Linked DNA regions of Saccharomyces cerevisiae S288C. The gene in region 4 interacts genetically with the main gene of each other region. Each region holds a gene or a part of one and is shown on either strand. Other genes may lie near its edges.

Region 1 (4,553 bases), on a different chromosome or scaffold from region 4:
CACTCATTTTACATGATTTGCATTGGCAACAGTATTTTTTCATCCAAGGGTTCTCATCGTTCTCGAAGGGCGCGGCTAGATGTTTTGTTTTATGCTCAATACTTGATGCTAAAGTAGTCATGTTTCTTGTCGTCATTCTTTGAATTTTTGTAGTCCTATGTACAAGCACAATATAAATGACAGACTAGTCAACGACGCTGACCCTTTATATGTTCCCCGTATATTCCTTGTTTTCATTGCAGTTAACATGTAAATTTCCCGATGCGGTAATTACGTTTCAAAGTCATTTCAACACTTCTATTGACAGCAAAAAAATAAAGACACTTGAAACGCACGATTTTTTCAAGAATAATATCTGTCGAGAAGATGTGTCACATTACCTATCATTACAGTGCTACTGATAGCCCACTAATGCGGATATTTAAATATATGCACCAAAAATGTATAAAGAAATAAACGGTAAAGACAAAAAAAATTACTTATTACAAATCGCAATTACAATTAAAGTACAAGACTTCCTTTGGGACAGAAAACGTGAAACAAGCCCCAAATATGCATGTCTGGTTAATTATGATGATGTTGAAGGTGGAGGAGAAGACATCCTTGTTGATGCTGATGATAATGCCAACGCCTTTTTTTGCTTCTTCTTGAGGATAATCTTATCCATGTATGAATTTATGAATTCTTTAACTTTATGCCTTTTTCCTTTGGTTAAGTCATCAGGCGGCGCTCTTGAAGAATCTTTTTTAAGTTCCTTTGTAGTTAGGATTTTCACGATGTCTTTAGCACATTGTTTAATGTTTTCATGATCAAATTGTTTACTTTGTGGGTTTTTTTTTATTAAGTTGGGTACAAAAGATGCAAAGAATTTATTCCAGTTGTGCTCTAGTCTTTGGGACTGGGAGACCGTTTTTCTTTTCAACCGCTTAGCCTCTTTTGCTTCCACTAGTTTTTTGGCCTCTTCCTTTTGTAACTCCTTCTGTTTGTTGGCCTCCGCTATAATATCCTCCAAAACGCTTTTTCTTTCATTCTCAAGCTTTAGCTTTTGCTTCAGGCTTTCCAATTCTTCTTGTTTGGCTCTTTCTAGCGCAATTCTTTCGTATTCCAGTCTTTTTTGTTTCTTCCTCTCATATTCTTCGTCACTCAGCTTATGTTTCTTAGAGTCTAAAGCGCCAGGCGTTTTTGGTATTCCACTGCTACTCGGAGAATTTACTTGTGTATTTGACCTTGAACTAAAGACCTTAGATGATCCCGAAGGTGGATAGTGTAGTTTCGTTTTCTGTTCTGCATTATAATACAATGGGCGACCGTTTTCGTGAATGATCTCCCAGCCTGGAGGTAATCTCACCCTTCTCAAATCTATCATTTTGCTGGCTGCGACGTTTATGTCTTTCTTCGTTATCCTTTTATATGTTTCAAATTTCGACCATTTCTCCAATAACTCATCGCAGTTTGGCTTTAAAAATGGAAACTTTGCAGGGAGAGTTTTTACTACATTATCAATTTGTGACGACTCAATACCGTTTCGAGTTGTCTTTGGTAATTCCAACAAAAAATCTAAAATTCCCTTTATAAACTTTATATCATCTTCTTCAGTCTCGTTTCCTTTTCCATCTACCTGAGGTTGTTCCGTGATAAACAATTTAAGCATTTTGCTAAAACAGGTGTAACCGTGTAGTTTGATAGCCTGATGACGAAGAGAGTCATCATCGATAGTAAAAAGTCTCTTCAAGAGTTTGGATGCAATTATCTTATTATCTTGCTGTAGTAATACACTCATGATCTTCGTCACATCCACTGGGCTGTCGATAGGTTGGACTTCCAATGATTGAAGAAATTCAATATTTATGTTCTCGTTTTCATTCTTTATTATTGGCTCACCGCTTAATTTCTTTAACTTTAGCCATTTTTTCTCCATGGAAACAGTCACTCCCAAGGCATCAGCGATGTTCTGGGGCAATAAAGATGCCGCATCTGTTTGAGTCTTACCACCGAGAAACCCAATACAATTTGGCTCCTCACAGTAGCATTTCTGAGCTTGAGCACCATAACGATCCACATTATAATCAAAAGTGATTTCCTCACCTTTTAAAATTTTTCTTTGAGCAAATATTCCCATGCGTAGCTTATCCTTAACAACCCATTTATTAACATATGCATTGGGGCTGCAAGAGTGATTGCAAAATCTGGCCAACGAACCCTTTATTGTGGCGTCAATGAATTCTCCGTTCTGTAACATCATAAAATAAAAATGCTTGAAATGACGTTGGTCATAGTCTATTAACCTATCTCTAAATTCCATCTCCTCGATCACCTCACCTTTGTACTCGTAAATGAACTGGTTGGCTTCTATGTCCTGTTCGGCTCTTACGCCATAACCTTTATGCTTTGTTTTAAATATGGCTATCGGAGCGTACTGCTTCTTTTGAAATCTCTGATTTTGACAATCATTACCACAAGATGAACACAAATCGTTGACACATTCTATCAACGTAAGTCTATTGATACAGTCAGAATCCTCGTCACAGGCATGGTTGACGCCATCTGAGAATTCTTCATAACAGTCACATTCCATGAAATCATTATTCTTAAATGTTCCGATCCTCTTGTTCGCATATATACAGTCATCCAAGTTTTCAAATTTGGTCAATGCTTCCTCTGTGAGATCAGGCTCTTGATCAAAAAGCCTTTGAGGTTTATGGCCCTCAGCGTTGTTATTCAGTATTTCTTTTTCATCTTCCGACGCACTCACACTTTGGTTCTTCGACATGATCACGTAAAACAACAACCAGGAAAGGAGAAAGGTTTGACAGCACGACTATGCAGTTTTCTATCACACGTTCGAAAGCCCCTTTGAAAAGCTGCCAACGTGACCTTACGTTCTGATAAATAACCACCAAATTACCAATAATTCTAATAGTTTCTTGGAATTTTTCACATGTTTGCAGTGAATAAAAAAAAAAAAACGTTAAAGGTGATATTGATCACGTGACAAATCTGTAAAAGTACGGATACTGTCCTTATTACTGCGATATACAGTGTGAGGTATTCTAAGCGGTATATTCACCGTCCTCTACACATATTTTAAATACTGATGAAGTGACAAGCAATATCATTGAGCATTCTTTTTTCAATAGTCGAAGTCAGCTTCTTCTCGTCGGTTCTAAACGAAACGCCTTGTTGAAAAAGACCGATAAATAGAGGAAGCAACGGCAGGAAATATATATAAACGCATGTCGAAACTAATACTTTATGATAGATTGTTCTTCTATCAGTTTTCATTTTAACTTTAAAAACTCAACCAACAGGTATTGGACTGACATAGGCACAATAAACTCAAAAATATTACGTAGAAATGGCTTCAGAAAAAGAAATTAGGAGAGAGAGATTCTTGAACGTTTTCCCTAAATTAGTAGAGGAATTGAACGCATCGCTTTTGGCTTACGGTATGCCTAAGGAAGCATGTGACTGGTATGCCCACTCATTGAACTACAACACTCCAGGCGGTAAGCTAAATAGAGGTTTGTCCGTTGTGGACACGTATGCTATTCTCTCCAACAAGACCGTTGAACAATTGGGGCAAGAAGAATACGAAAAGGTTGCCATTCTAGGTTGGTGCATTGAGTTGTTGCAGGCTTACTTCTTGGTCGCCGATGATATGATGGACAAGTCCATTACCAGAAGAGGCCAACCATGTTGGTACAAGGTTCCTGAAGTTGGGGAAATTGCCATCAATGACGCATTCATGTTAGAGGCTGCTATCTACAAGCTTTTGAAATCTCACTTCAGAAACGAAAAATACTACATAGATATCACCGAATTGTTCCATGAGGTCACCTTCCAAACCGAATTGGGCCAATTGATGGACTTAATCACTGCACCTGAAGACAAAGTCGACTTGAGTAAGTTCTCCCTAAAGAAGCACTCCTTCATAGTTACTTTCAAGACTGCTTACTATTCTTTCTACTTGCCTGTCGCATTGGCCATGTACGTTGCCGGTATCACGGATGAAAAGGATTTGAAACAAGCCAGAGATGTCTTGATTCCATTGGGTGAATACTTCCAAATTCAAGATGACTACTTAGACTGCTTCGGTACCCCAGAACAGATCGGTAAGATCGGTACAGATATCCAAGATAACAAATGTTCTTGGGTAATCAACAAGGCATTGGAACTTGCTTCCGCAGAACAAAGAAAGACTTTAGACGAAAATTACGGTAAGAAGGACTCAGTCGCAGAAGCCAAATGCAAAAAGATTTTCAATGACTTGAAAATTGAACAGCTATACCACGAATATGAAGAGTCTATTGCCAAGGATTTGAAGGCCAAAATTTCTCAGGTCGATGAGTCTCGTGGCTTCAAAGCTGATGTCTTAACTGCGTTCTTGAACAAAGTTTACAAGAGAAGCAAATAGAACTAACGCTAATCGATAAAACATTAGATTTCAAACTAGATAAGGACCATGTATAAGAACTATATACTTCCAATATAATATAGTATAAGCTTTAAGATAGTATCTCTCGATCTACCGTTCCACGTGACTAGTCCAAGGA
Region 2 (3,615 bases), on a different chromosome or scaffold from region 4:
TATTGCGAACTTCTTTCATCAACAATTCACAAACACGACGAACGTAGCAAAATGCTATGGTTCTTACGTTGTTCAATATCAATTGTACCAATATCTTTGCACTCTCTCTAATGAAATTTTCTCGTTTACGTTCGTGTTGAGGTAAAATTGGAGGATTCCACACCACTAGATGCTTAGCACCTGTAGGTGAGCCATCCTCGTGTATTAGCGTAACCTCATTAATTCCAAACATGTCCTTCATATGTTGTACTGGAGACTTTAAAGTTGCAGAACATGAAATAAATTGTAAACCACTATTTTCGTAAAAACAGTGGCACAGTCTTAGTAAACGTCTCATCACTAATGCCACGTGCGATCCAAATAAACCCTTATATATATGCAATTCATCGACCACCACTAACTTTAGATGGTACAAAAAATGTCTCCAATTTGCATGATTAGGTAAAATGCTGGTATGTATCATGTCAGGATTGGTAAAAATAACTCTAGCATTTTTACGAATATAAGCTCTTTCCTCTGGCTCCGTATCGCCGTCATACGTATCAACCACGGCATTCTTTAGCTCGGGGATCTTTGAAAGTATTACCTTGAATGCTCTTTTTTGATCTTGTGCCAGGGCCTTTGTTGGAAATATATACATAAACGTTGATTCAGGATCCTTTAAAAGAAGATCGATAGCTGCTAGTTGGTAAATAAGGGATTTACCTGAAGAGGTCGATGTTGTAATAATGACGTTTTCGCCTTGATGAAGACTGTTTATCGCATCTGCTTGATGGCTGTAGAAATTTTCGTGTTCCATACCCTGATATACTTCCGGTGCAAGCTCAAAACAGAGACCTTTATACTTCGCTGTTCTTGATGGTATTGTAAAACAATGCTTTATCTGAGAAGCGTAGAATTCAGTACTTTTTAATTTCTCAATCATTTGAGGAATTGTTGTTATCACTGAATTATTGGAATAATTGGGAATGCTCATCTCATTACTTTCTTGCTTCGCCTTCATCATTGCCTCAATAGGATCCTCATAATCTCTCTCCCTTGGAATATATTTCTGCGCTAGATTTGTTAACTCAGAAAATGGGTCAAGGTTAGCCTTTTCCTTTTCCAGGATAAATTCCCGTAGTCTGGATTTAAAGAGAGCTTCCCTTTTAGAAATCATCTTTTTCATTTCCTCCGTAGTATATGTTGGTATCTTTATTTGAGAAAATCTATCACTTGCAGACCATGAGCGTTGCATTGTACCGTCTATAAATTCAAATATAAGTAACTGAGTAGATTTTTGAGTCTGATTTTGGTCATCAACGTCCTTCAGTTCAAATATGTCATTTTCCTTCTGCTGAAAGCCGCCATTATTGAAGTCAAAAATCTTAGTTTCAGTATAAATTTGGTTCTCATCAATATACTTGAAAACACATTCTCTTGGCATTAGCGCCATAACCATGGCTAGGTCTTCTTTCGTCACAGTTCTTTTCAAAGCAGTTTCTATAGGTCCACAAAGTGTTTTAAATGTAGGCACAACATGCTTTCTGCAAATCAAAAAGGTGTAAAGAGTATTAAGGCGGAAAAAAAATTGTTCAAAATTTCTAAAGGCATCGGTCTTTCCACTCCCTTGACCTGCTGACTTCAGTTTCTTTTTGATAGGTCCTTCCTCCATTTTTCCTTCTCAAATGAACATTTCTTTTCTACGACCTTAACCATCTCAATATGTATAACGGTTCTGTTTTATAACGAAAAATGAAAAAGTTATTTTTTTCCTTTAAAAATATATAAACTTGAAAAGCCAACATAATAATATAAGTACAAGCGAAGAAGGTTTTAACGAAGAGGTAGAAAATTTGAAGAAAGCAATAATCCAAGATTAAAATAGACGGTATGCCTTTCTCTTCTGAGCAATTCACAACCAAATTAAATACGTTGGAAGATTCCCAAGAATCTATTTCCAGTGCCTCAAAGTGGTTGCTTCTACAGTATAGAGATGCTCCCAAAGTGGCAGAAATGTGGAAAGAATACATGTTAAGGCCTAGTGTAAACACAAGAAGGAAGTTATTGGGTCTTTACTTAATGAATCATGTTGTTCAACAGGCTAAAGGTCAAAAAATTATTCAATTTCAAGATTCCTTTGGAAAGGTGGCAGCAGAAGTATTGGGAAGAATTAATCAAGAGTTTCCGAGGGACCTAAAAAAGAAGTTGTCAAGAGTTGTGAATATACTAAAAGAAAGAAATATATTTTCCAAGCAGGTAGTCAATGACATAGAAAGAAGTCTTAAAACCGAGAGCTCACCAGTGGAAGCGTTGGTGTTACCCCAGAAATTGAAAGATTTTGCTAAGGACTATGAAAAATTAGTGAAAATGCACCATAATGTTTGCGCGATGAAAATGAGATTTGACAAATCATCAGATGAATTGGATCCATCCAGCTCAGTTTACGAGGAAAATTTTAAAACAATAAGTAAGATTGGGAACATGGCTAAAGATATAATAAATGAATCAATTCTAAAAAGAGAAAGCGGTATCCATAAACTGCAAAGCACACTGGACGATGAAAAAAGGCATCTAGATGAGGAACAGAATATGTTAAGTGAAATAGAATTCGTTTTATCTGCTAAAGACCCATCCAGATTAAATAAAAACGTTGATGAAGACAATATTATTCCTACGTATGAAGTGGGGGATGGAGATGACGATGACGATGATGGTGATAATGATGATGATGATGATGATGATGATGATGACAAAAATTACGATGATAGATCCAATGACAGCAATTATGGCGTTACTAATATTAGCACCACAGATAAGAAGAATGAAGTTGTAGAAAAGACAGATAGCGAACATAAAAACTCTACTCATAATCCTAGTGACAATCAATTTGGTATGAAACGAACACATGATATGATAGGTCATGATGACGCTAATGACATACCGGAAAAAAAGGTTCATCTTGATTCGAAGACGAGTGAAGATGGTACTTTCAACAGTGAGGATGGACATTATGAGTTAGATATAGAAGGCCACGTCGGCGCCCAAACCGACGAAGGTGTTGAGAATTCCGGAGGGGTTTCTTCTAGTATACAAGACTTGTTAAGTAAGCTTGCAAATTAATATGATGGTTGAGTAAAAAGAAAACAAGGAGATAACTTATACAAATATATAGTAACCCGTTTAAGTCCAGTCTTTTTTCGTAACTATTTGCCCATAGTTTATTTCGTATTCATCTTCACTATTTCCTCGACAAAAAAGATGCGCACCTAAACTACATGGACACCTATGCAATGCTATATAGAATATGAATCGCCAATGCTTTTTATTATATCATCGTGCAAACTTTTAGTCTGCTCCTTTTCAAGGCCCATGATTTCTTGCACCAATTTTTCAAGAGACTCTAGTCCAAGCTCAGCCTGAGTTCTTCTACCTATCCTGTATGATATCACTTCCCCGTCGGTATCGGATTTCTCCTCCAATCTGACTATATATTCGCGCTTTTCTAAACTTTTTATCAAATCTTCAATAGTAATGTTCAGTATAGCAATCTTTGAACCATCGCTTGGAATGCCAAATGTCTCTAGAAATTTGATCAATTCCTGATGTAATATGTTATTCTTAGAGAAGAAAACA
Region 3 (4,107 bases), on a different chromosome or scaffold from region 4:
ATAGAGTTAGGTTCTGCAAAAGATATTGATCCATTGCGCCTGTTACATTTCGGCCAGGAGTGATTGAACCCCCCATACTACGTCTTTTGTTTTTGTTAGGGCTTCTGTTGTTTTCTCTACCTGGGGTTTGTTGCGTAGATTGCAAATATCTAAAGGACTCTCTAATACGTTTAGAGTTCTCCTCTTCTACATGGAATATGTCGCACAAATCATCCTTAGCCTTTCTTATAACGTCCAACAACCTAGAGCATTCGTCTGCGTCTCTACATTCATACAAACTTGAATTCGAATTGCTAAACTTGAAAAGTAGCCTCTTAGTGGAAAATTCCTCTTGCGTGACAGTGACATCCTTTAAAGGATAGCACTGGCTTACTATAAAGTCATTTTGCTTATCTCTTGATTTATCGGCGATAAGTACCAAATCATTCAAAATGAAAATCTGTACCATCTGCAAGGGTTTACCAGTGGTAGTATTTAATTCCATCCAATTGGCACTATTCATTAAAATATGTCTTCCTTTCGTAGAATTGATAAACTTCTGAGCACCTTCAACGTTCTTAAACAGCTGATCCAGTTCCGTATCCCAAAATTTCTCTAATATCAAGACGCTCGATCTGTCCCTCCTCATGAGATTCCCATTTTGTCCTGCTTTCAAAGGCGGAAGTAACGCTGGACTATTAGAATGACTTTCAACATTGTTAAAATTGCCTTGTCTCTCTTGATCTATTTGATCCTGCAATTGTAACCTTTTTTCAGCTATTTTGGTGCACTGATCCAAAACCTCGTTTAAATCATTTATATTTGCTCTAACCCTTTTAAGCTCCAACATAGCAACATTTAGGTCGTTGTTTACCGTCATGATTTCGTTATATGATTTATTGATATTTAACTTTACTTCTTCTTGGACCTGTATCGATAAATCTGTTAAATTTGAGGTAAATTTATCAATAGTAATGGCACTCGCATTGCCTAGTTTATCATGAACAAAATCTTTAGCATTAAAATGCGGGTTTGCCAACATCTTTCTTAGCGACGTGCTATTATTGAAAGGATCATTACTGCCGGAAGGATTGACAGTATTTCGCATTGCTGATCTAGCAGGCACCTTATTATAGGAGCTGTCGTTCAGGGAGAGATCGGCAGTTGAAAGATTTAAACTGTTGGAAGGGCCTTTAGAGCTTACCGATTCGTTCTCAGTGGTGAAACTACTATTATTATGACTACTATCCACATTATCATTGGGAACTATCATGTTTGGCATATCAGGTAGGGGCATTGAGTAATCTAGTGTAGGTGGAGCATAATTTGTATTATGAATTGATAGTCTTCTCTGCATTGAAGTTGCTACCCTACTTCTCTCCCTTGCATTGATTGTTGGTAGCGTATAACTGGTAGCCGGATCCTTGAGATCACTATAAGGGTTCTTTTTTGTTTTTTGTTTAGGCTTAGCAGGCGATGGAGGTGTCTTTTGCTTAGCAGGAGAGCTTGCAGACTTCTTTACATGCTTCCAATTGTTTCTGGCCTTCTTCAAAGAAAACTCAACCATTTTCACAGTACAAATATTTCAACTTTCAGTCTCTTACCTGGTCTAATATGAAGGCTTTTTGTTCATTCGGCTTTGCTCAAGGTCTTACAAATATACTATTAACTGCAGTCTCTAGTCTCTTTTTCCAGTCATCTATTTTCATGGAGCGGAACTTAGCAAACGAGAAATAAACAAAAATGATTAGGAATGTATTCATGTTGAAAAGGTTATGAGATATGCAAGACCATTCGTTTTGATTTGCAATTAGTGAGAACAATTTAAACACCTTGGTGCGAAATTGAAGGTTTTTTTTTCCAAAGAAGTGTACAGCCCACACTAACAACTGCTAACTCAGATAAAAATAACAGAAACAAAAAAAAGGTAGGGAAGGCCCATCACACGGAAAATGAGTATAACAAGTGAAGAACTAAACTACTTGATATGGAGGTATTGTCAAGAGATGGGACACGAGGTGAGTGCATTAGCATTGCAGGATGAAACAAGAGTATTGGAATTTGATGAGAAGTATAAAGAACACATTCCTTTGGGTACACTGGTGAATCTAGTACAAAGGGGAATCTTGTATACAGAAAGTGAGTTAATGGTTGATAGTAAAGGTGATATCAGCGCTTTAAATGAACATCATCTTTCTGAAGATTTCAATTTGGTTCAGGCGCTGCAAATAGATAAAGAAAAATTTCCTGAGATCTCTTCTGAAGGAAGGTTCACTTTGGAAACCAATTCCGAGAGTAATAAAGCAGGTGAAGATGGCGCTAGTACTGTTGAAAGAGAAACCCAAGAGGACGATACTAATTCTATTGACAGTAGTGATGACCTAGACGGATTTGTCAAAATACTGAAGGAGATAGTAAAATTAGATAATATTGTTTCCTCCACTTGGAATCCATTGGATGAATCTATACTCGCATACGGTGAAAAAAATTCTGTTGCAAGACTAGCGAGGATAGTAGAAACCGATCAAGAAGGGAAAAAATACTGGAAACTCACGATAATAGCGGAGTTGAGACATCCTTTTGCTCTGAGTGCAAGTAGTGGTAAAACGACGAATCAAGTCACATGTCTTGCTTGGTCACACGATGGTAATTCAATTGTCACGGGTGTAGAAAATGGTGAGCTAAGACTATGGAATAAGACGGGGGCACTTCTGAATGTTTTAAATTTTCATAGAGCACCTATAGTATCCGTTAAATGGAACAAAGATGGAACACATATCATATCCATGGACGTGGAAAATGTCACTATACTCTGGAATGTTATAAGCGGGACCGTCATGCAGCACTTTGAATTAAAAGAAACCGGTGGCTCATCCATCAACGCAGAGAACCATAGTGGCGATGGTTCACTTGGGGTTGACGTTGAATGGGTAGACGATGACAAATTTGTCATTCCTGGCCCTAAAGGTGCTATATTTGTATACCAAATTACAGAAAAAACGCCCACTGGTAAACTTATTGGACACCATGGACCTATCAGCGTTTTGGAGTTCAATGACACCAATAAACTTCTACTTAGTGCCTCAGACGATGGTACTCTAAGAATATGGCATGGCGGTAACGGCAATTCTCAGAATTGCTTCTACGGACACTCACAAAGCATAGTATCGGCATCATGGGTCGGTGATGATAAGGTAATATCCTGCTCGATGGATGGCTCCGTTCGCCTATGGTCGCTGAAGCAGAATACGCTATTGGCTCTATCAATCGTGGATGGTGTCCCAATTTTTGCTGGAAGAATATCACAAGATGGACAGAAGTACGCAGTTGCTTTCATGGATGGGCAGGTAAACGTCTACGATTTAAAAAAACTGAACAGCAAGTCACGAAGTCTTTATGGTAACCGTGATGGGATTTTGAATCCATTACCAATTCCCCTCTACGCTAGCTACCAAAGCAGCCAAGACAATGATTATATATTTGATCTGTCATGGAACTGTGCGGGAAACAAGATTTCTGTAGCATACTCGCTTCAAGAAGGTTCAGTTGTAGCCATATAATAACTAGGTACAGTACATAAACAGATGAATTTTATCATTCTTATTGTTATTTCTTTGTTTACAAAAGGTGAAAAGTGAAAAATTTCGCAATGGAAAACGTCGCGGGCCGCCTTTGAGTGACGTTGTGCAGGAATCTCGAAGAGTCATCACTTTGAAGATAACGGCCGCTCGCGATGAGAGAAGACAATGAGCATTGCTTTTTTATAATTTTTTATACCTTGTGTTAAAATAAGTTTCTTTAATTAGTTTTCACCTCTTGGATGATACAACTGTAATTGATAAATAGGGGTAGCCATAAAGAACAGAAAAAAGCGGCGCAATAATTTCGTGTATTACAATTACAGTTAGTCATGAGTGAAGAATTTCCTACGCCGCAGCTTTTGGATGAATTGGAAGATCAACAGAAAGTTACCACGCCGAATGAGAAGAGAGAGTTAAGTTCTAATCGTGTGTTGAAGGATATTTTTGCGGGTACCATCGGTGGTATTGCACAAGTTCTTGTAGGGCAACCGTTTGATACAACAAAAGTTAGGCTTCAAACAGCCACCACAAGAACAACAACGTTGGA
Region 4 (3,082 bases):
TTTTGTTTCAAATGCATCTGCAGGTGTACTGCCATTATATTGCAAATTTGCCAGGGTCACAATGTCGTTTGCCTCTTGGGTATCAGATTGCATTTTTTCAATACTTTTGGAAAGAATTTTCATGATATCCGTATAATCAACGGATAGGATGTCTTTGACCCAGGTAGGTAGGAATTGAGAGGGAGCAAATATTTGAAAAGTGTTATACAAGAAGGTGAGTTCATCATCAGTGATCTGACGTACGGGTTTTCCGTTTACTGTCGGAATAATACCACCGAGATTCGAGTTTTGTAAAAATTTGATGTATGTTTTAACCCAATTTGGAAAGTCATTAGGTGAGGTTAACATTGGTGGTGGTCTGACATATTTTTTAGTGGATGTCATATCAGAGTCCGCTGAGGATGAATCAGTAAATGTATTACCTGACTCAGGTGATGGAGTGCTCAGAGGCGTTCCAACTGATGATGGATACTGCGGAAACTGTGATTGTGGCCCAGGTGGAAAGTACATAGGCGACATTTGATAAGGTGTATACGGAATCATAGATGGGTGTCCGTAAAATGACCAACCAGATGGATTGGCTTGGTTTTGGGTCATCATGCACTGCTGTGGGTACGGCCCATTCTGTGGAGGTGGTACTGAAGCAGGTTGAGGAGAGGCATGATGGGGGTTCTCTGGAACAGCTGATGAAGCAGGTGTTGTTGTCTGTTGAGAGTTAGCCTTAGTGGAAGCCTTCTCACATTCTTCTGTTTTGGAAGCTGAAACGTCTAACGGATCTTGATTTGTGTGGACTTCCTTAGAAGTAACCGAAGCACAGGCGCTACCATGAGAAATATGTGAATGTTGAGATAATTGTTGGGATTCCATTGTTGATAAAGGCTATAATATTAGGTATACAGAATATACTAGAAGTTCTCCTCGAGGATATAGGAATCCTCAAAATGGAATCTATATTTCTACATACTAATATTACGATTATTCCTCATTCCGTTTTATATGTTTATATTCATTGATCCTATTACATTATCAATCCTTGCGTTTCAGCTTCCACTAATTTAGATGACTATTTCTCATCATTTGCGTCATCTTCTAACACCGTATATGATAATATACTAGTAATGTAAATACTAGTTAGTAGATGATAGTTGATTTCTATTCCAACAACTAGTAACACGAATACTACTAAACAAATGATATTTTAGAGTTCCATTTCAACATTATGCACTCAATATTCATTATTGTTGTTAAGGGCTTAATATTGTAGTTGTCAGAAAACTTTTACTATTCGGTGATTCCTTAGTGGCTAAGATTCACAAGTTCACAAGGGCGTGTGGTCTAGTGGTATGATTCTCGCTTTGGGCGACTTCCTGATTAAACAGGAAGACAAAGCATGCGAGAGGCCCTGGGTTCAATTCCCAGCTCGCCCCTTTTTTTGATATTTTTTTTGGAGTATTACAAAAACGACCATTCATTAAGGAAGTGAAGTCGGTGGAATAGCTAGAGAGCTTATATTTATTTAGTCGTTGCTTTATGTAACGAAGCAATCAATAAAATATTTGTGTTCTGTAGAAATAACTTTGATCCGGGTAATAGATAATTAATAACTACTTTTTTTATAATGAACATGATGATCTTTGTGAGTATTAACAAAAGTCGAAGCGGCCCTTTCAATCTATAGTAACGTCGATATCATTGATAGATCGAAGAAAAAGAACGGATCGCTTACTCATAACAGCGAAATGAAGGCGCTAGTTGAAGAGATTGATAAGAAAACTTACAATCCTGACATATATTTCACGTCATTGGATCCTCAAGCACGTCGATATACTTCAAAGAAGATTAATAAGCAAGGCACAATATCCACCTCTAGGCCCGTAAAGCGCATAAACTACTCACTGGCAGATTTAGAGGCCAGGTTATATACTTCGAGATCTGAGGGAGATGGCAATAGTATAAGCAGACAGGATGACCGAAATAGTAAGAATTCCCATTCATTTGAAGAAAGGTACACACAACAAGAGATTCTCCAGTCGGACAGGAGGTTTATGGAACTTAACACAGAAAATTTCTCGGATTTACCAAATGTACCGACTTTATTAAGTGATCTCACAGGCGTACCACGAGATAGAATTGAATCAACAACCAAACCGATCTCACAGACCTCGGATGGTCTCTCTGCATTAATGGGTGGTTCTTCTTTTGTAAAAGAGCATTCCAAGTATGGTCATGGTTGGGTGCTTAAACCAGAAACCTTACGGGAAATACAATTATCGTATAAATCTACAAAACTACCTAAACCAAAGAGGAAGAATACCAATCGTATTGTGGCGTTAAAGAAGGTTTTAAGTTCAAAAAGAAATTTACATTCGTTTTTAGATTCTGCGCTGCTAAACTTGATGGATAAGAATGTCATTTACCACAATGTTTACAATAAACGATACTTCAAAGTGTTACCCCTAATTACGACATGCTCTATTTGCGGTGGCTACGATAGTATTTCAAGTTGCGTTAATTGTGGAAATAAGATTTGTTCTGTAAGTTGTTTTAAATTGCATAATGAAACTAGGTGCAGAAATAGATAGTAATGATCAGTATGTATTCGTAAGCCCTTTTTTCTCCCCTATTTATACGTATGTAAGTGTAGATACTTAACAAAAATATTCACAAATTAATTGAAGAGGAAAGGTGAAAAATTCATAACTTTGCTTTTCGTTTATTCTCATTTTCCAAGGCGTCAAAAATTTCATCAGCAGCTTGAGATAAATAATAGTGTAATCTGTTAACACTGGCTCCACTCTTGGCTGGTTTGTTGACAATATTGATATGCAGCCACTCGTTATTCAACATGTATGCCAGTCCAAACCCGTTGTCATTTACTTGAGACCAACCATAACCGTCAAAATATTCCGAAGATAGTTGAGATGTGGAGATCAACCAAGTTGAAGAATAATTAAATAAGGGATCTTTGAAAAGGGGCGGAATTTGGTCATCATTAGATTTTAGCATATTCTTTAGACCGAAGAAATGACGATCGACACCATTACCATTTGCAGCATTTTTCAGGTACGTAGAATGCTCTTTT

The links.
Region 1: mutations in VPS71 (region 4) and SET2 together harm fitness more than expected from each alone (negative genetic interaction), as found in Saccharomyces cerevisiae (11 studies listed by BioGRID, with this or other methods).
Region 2: mutations in VPS71 (region 4) and RTT103 together harm fitness more than expected from each alone (negative genetic interaction), as found in Saccharomyces cerevisiae (5 studies listed by BioGRID).
Region 3: mutations in VPS71 (region 4) and SIF2 together harm fitness more than expected from each alone (negative genetic interaction), as found in Saccharomyces cerevisiae (5 studies listed by BioGRID, with this or other methods).

The regions. Positions count from the first base shown.
Region 1 is NC_001142.9:101,659-106,211, forward strand, and holds SET2 (histone methyltransferase SET2), read right to left. Parts: upstream 2,771-4,553; coding exon 569-2,770; downstream 1-568. Other genes in the region: ASG7 (Asg7p), read right to left, coding at 1-121; ERG20 (bifunctional (2E,6E)-farnesyl diphosphate synthase/dimethylallyltranstransferase), read left to right, coding at 3,356-4,414. UniProt on the Saccharomyces cerevisiae protein: Histone methyltransferase that trimethylates histone H3 'Lys-36' forming H3K36me3. Involved in transcription elongation as well as in transcription repression.
Region 2 is NC_001136.10:1,037,767-1,041,381, reverse strand, and holds RTT103 (Rtt103p), read left to right. Parts: upstream 1-1,872; coding exon 1,873-3,102; downstream 3,103-3,615. Other genes in the region: HRQ1 (ATP-dependent 3'-5' DNA helicase), read right to left, coding at 1-1,654; Smc5-Smc6 complex subunit NSE3, read right to left, coding at 3,276-3,615. UniProt on the Saccharomyces cerevisiae protein: Involved in transcription termination by RNA polymerase II and in regulation of Ty1 transposition.
Region 3 is NC_001134.8:445,778-449,884, forward strand, and holds SIF2 (Sif2p), read left to right. Parts: upstream 1-1,931; coding exon 1,932-3,539; downstream 3,540-4,107. Other genes in the region: exocyst subunit EXO84, read right to left, coding at 1-1,546; YMC2 (organic acid transporter), read left to right, coding at 3,890-4,107. UniProt on the Saccharomyces cerevisiae protein: Antagonizes telomeric silencing in yeast. May recruit SIR4 to non-telomeric sites or repression.
Region 4 is NC_001145.3:194,413-197,494, reverse strand, and holds VPS71 (Vps71p), read left to right. Parts: upstream 1-1,739; coding exon 1,740-2,582; downstream 2,583-3,082. Other genes in the region: YML040W (gag protein), read right to left, coding at 1-867; carnitine O-acetyltransferase CAT2, read right to left, coding at 2,695-3,082. UniProt on the Saccharomyces cerevisiae protein: Participates in the catalytic exchange of histone H2A for the H2A variant HZT1, an euchromatin-specific factor, leading to chromatin remodeling and changes in transcription of targeted genes. Indirectly involved in vacuolar protein sorting.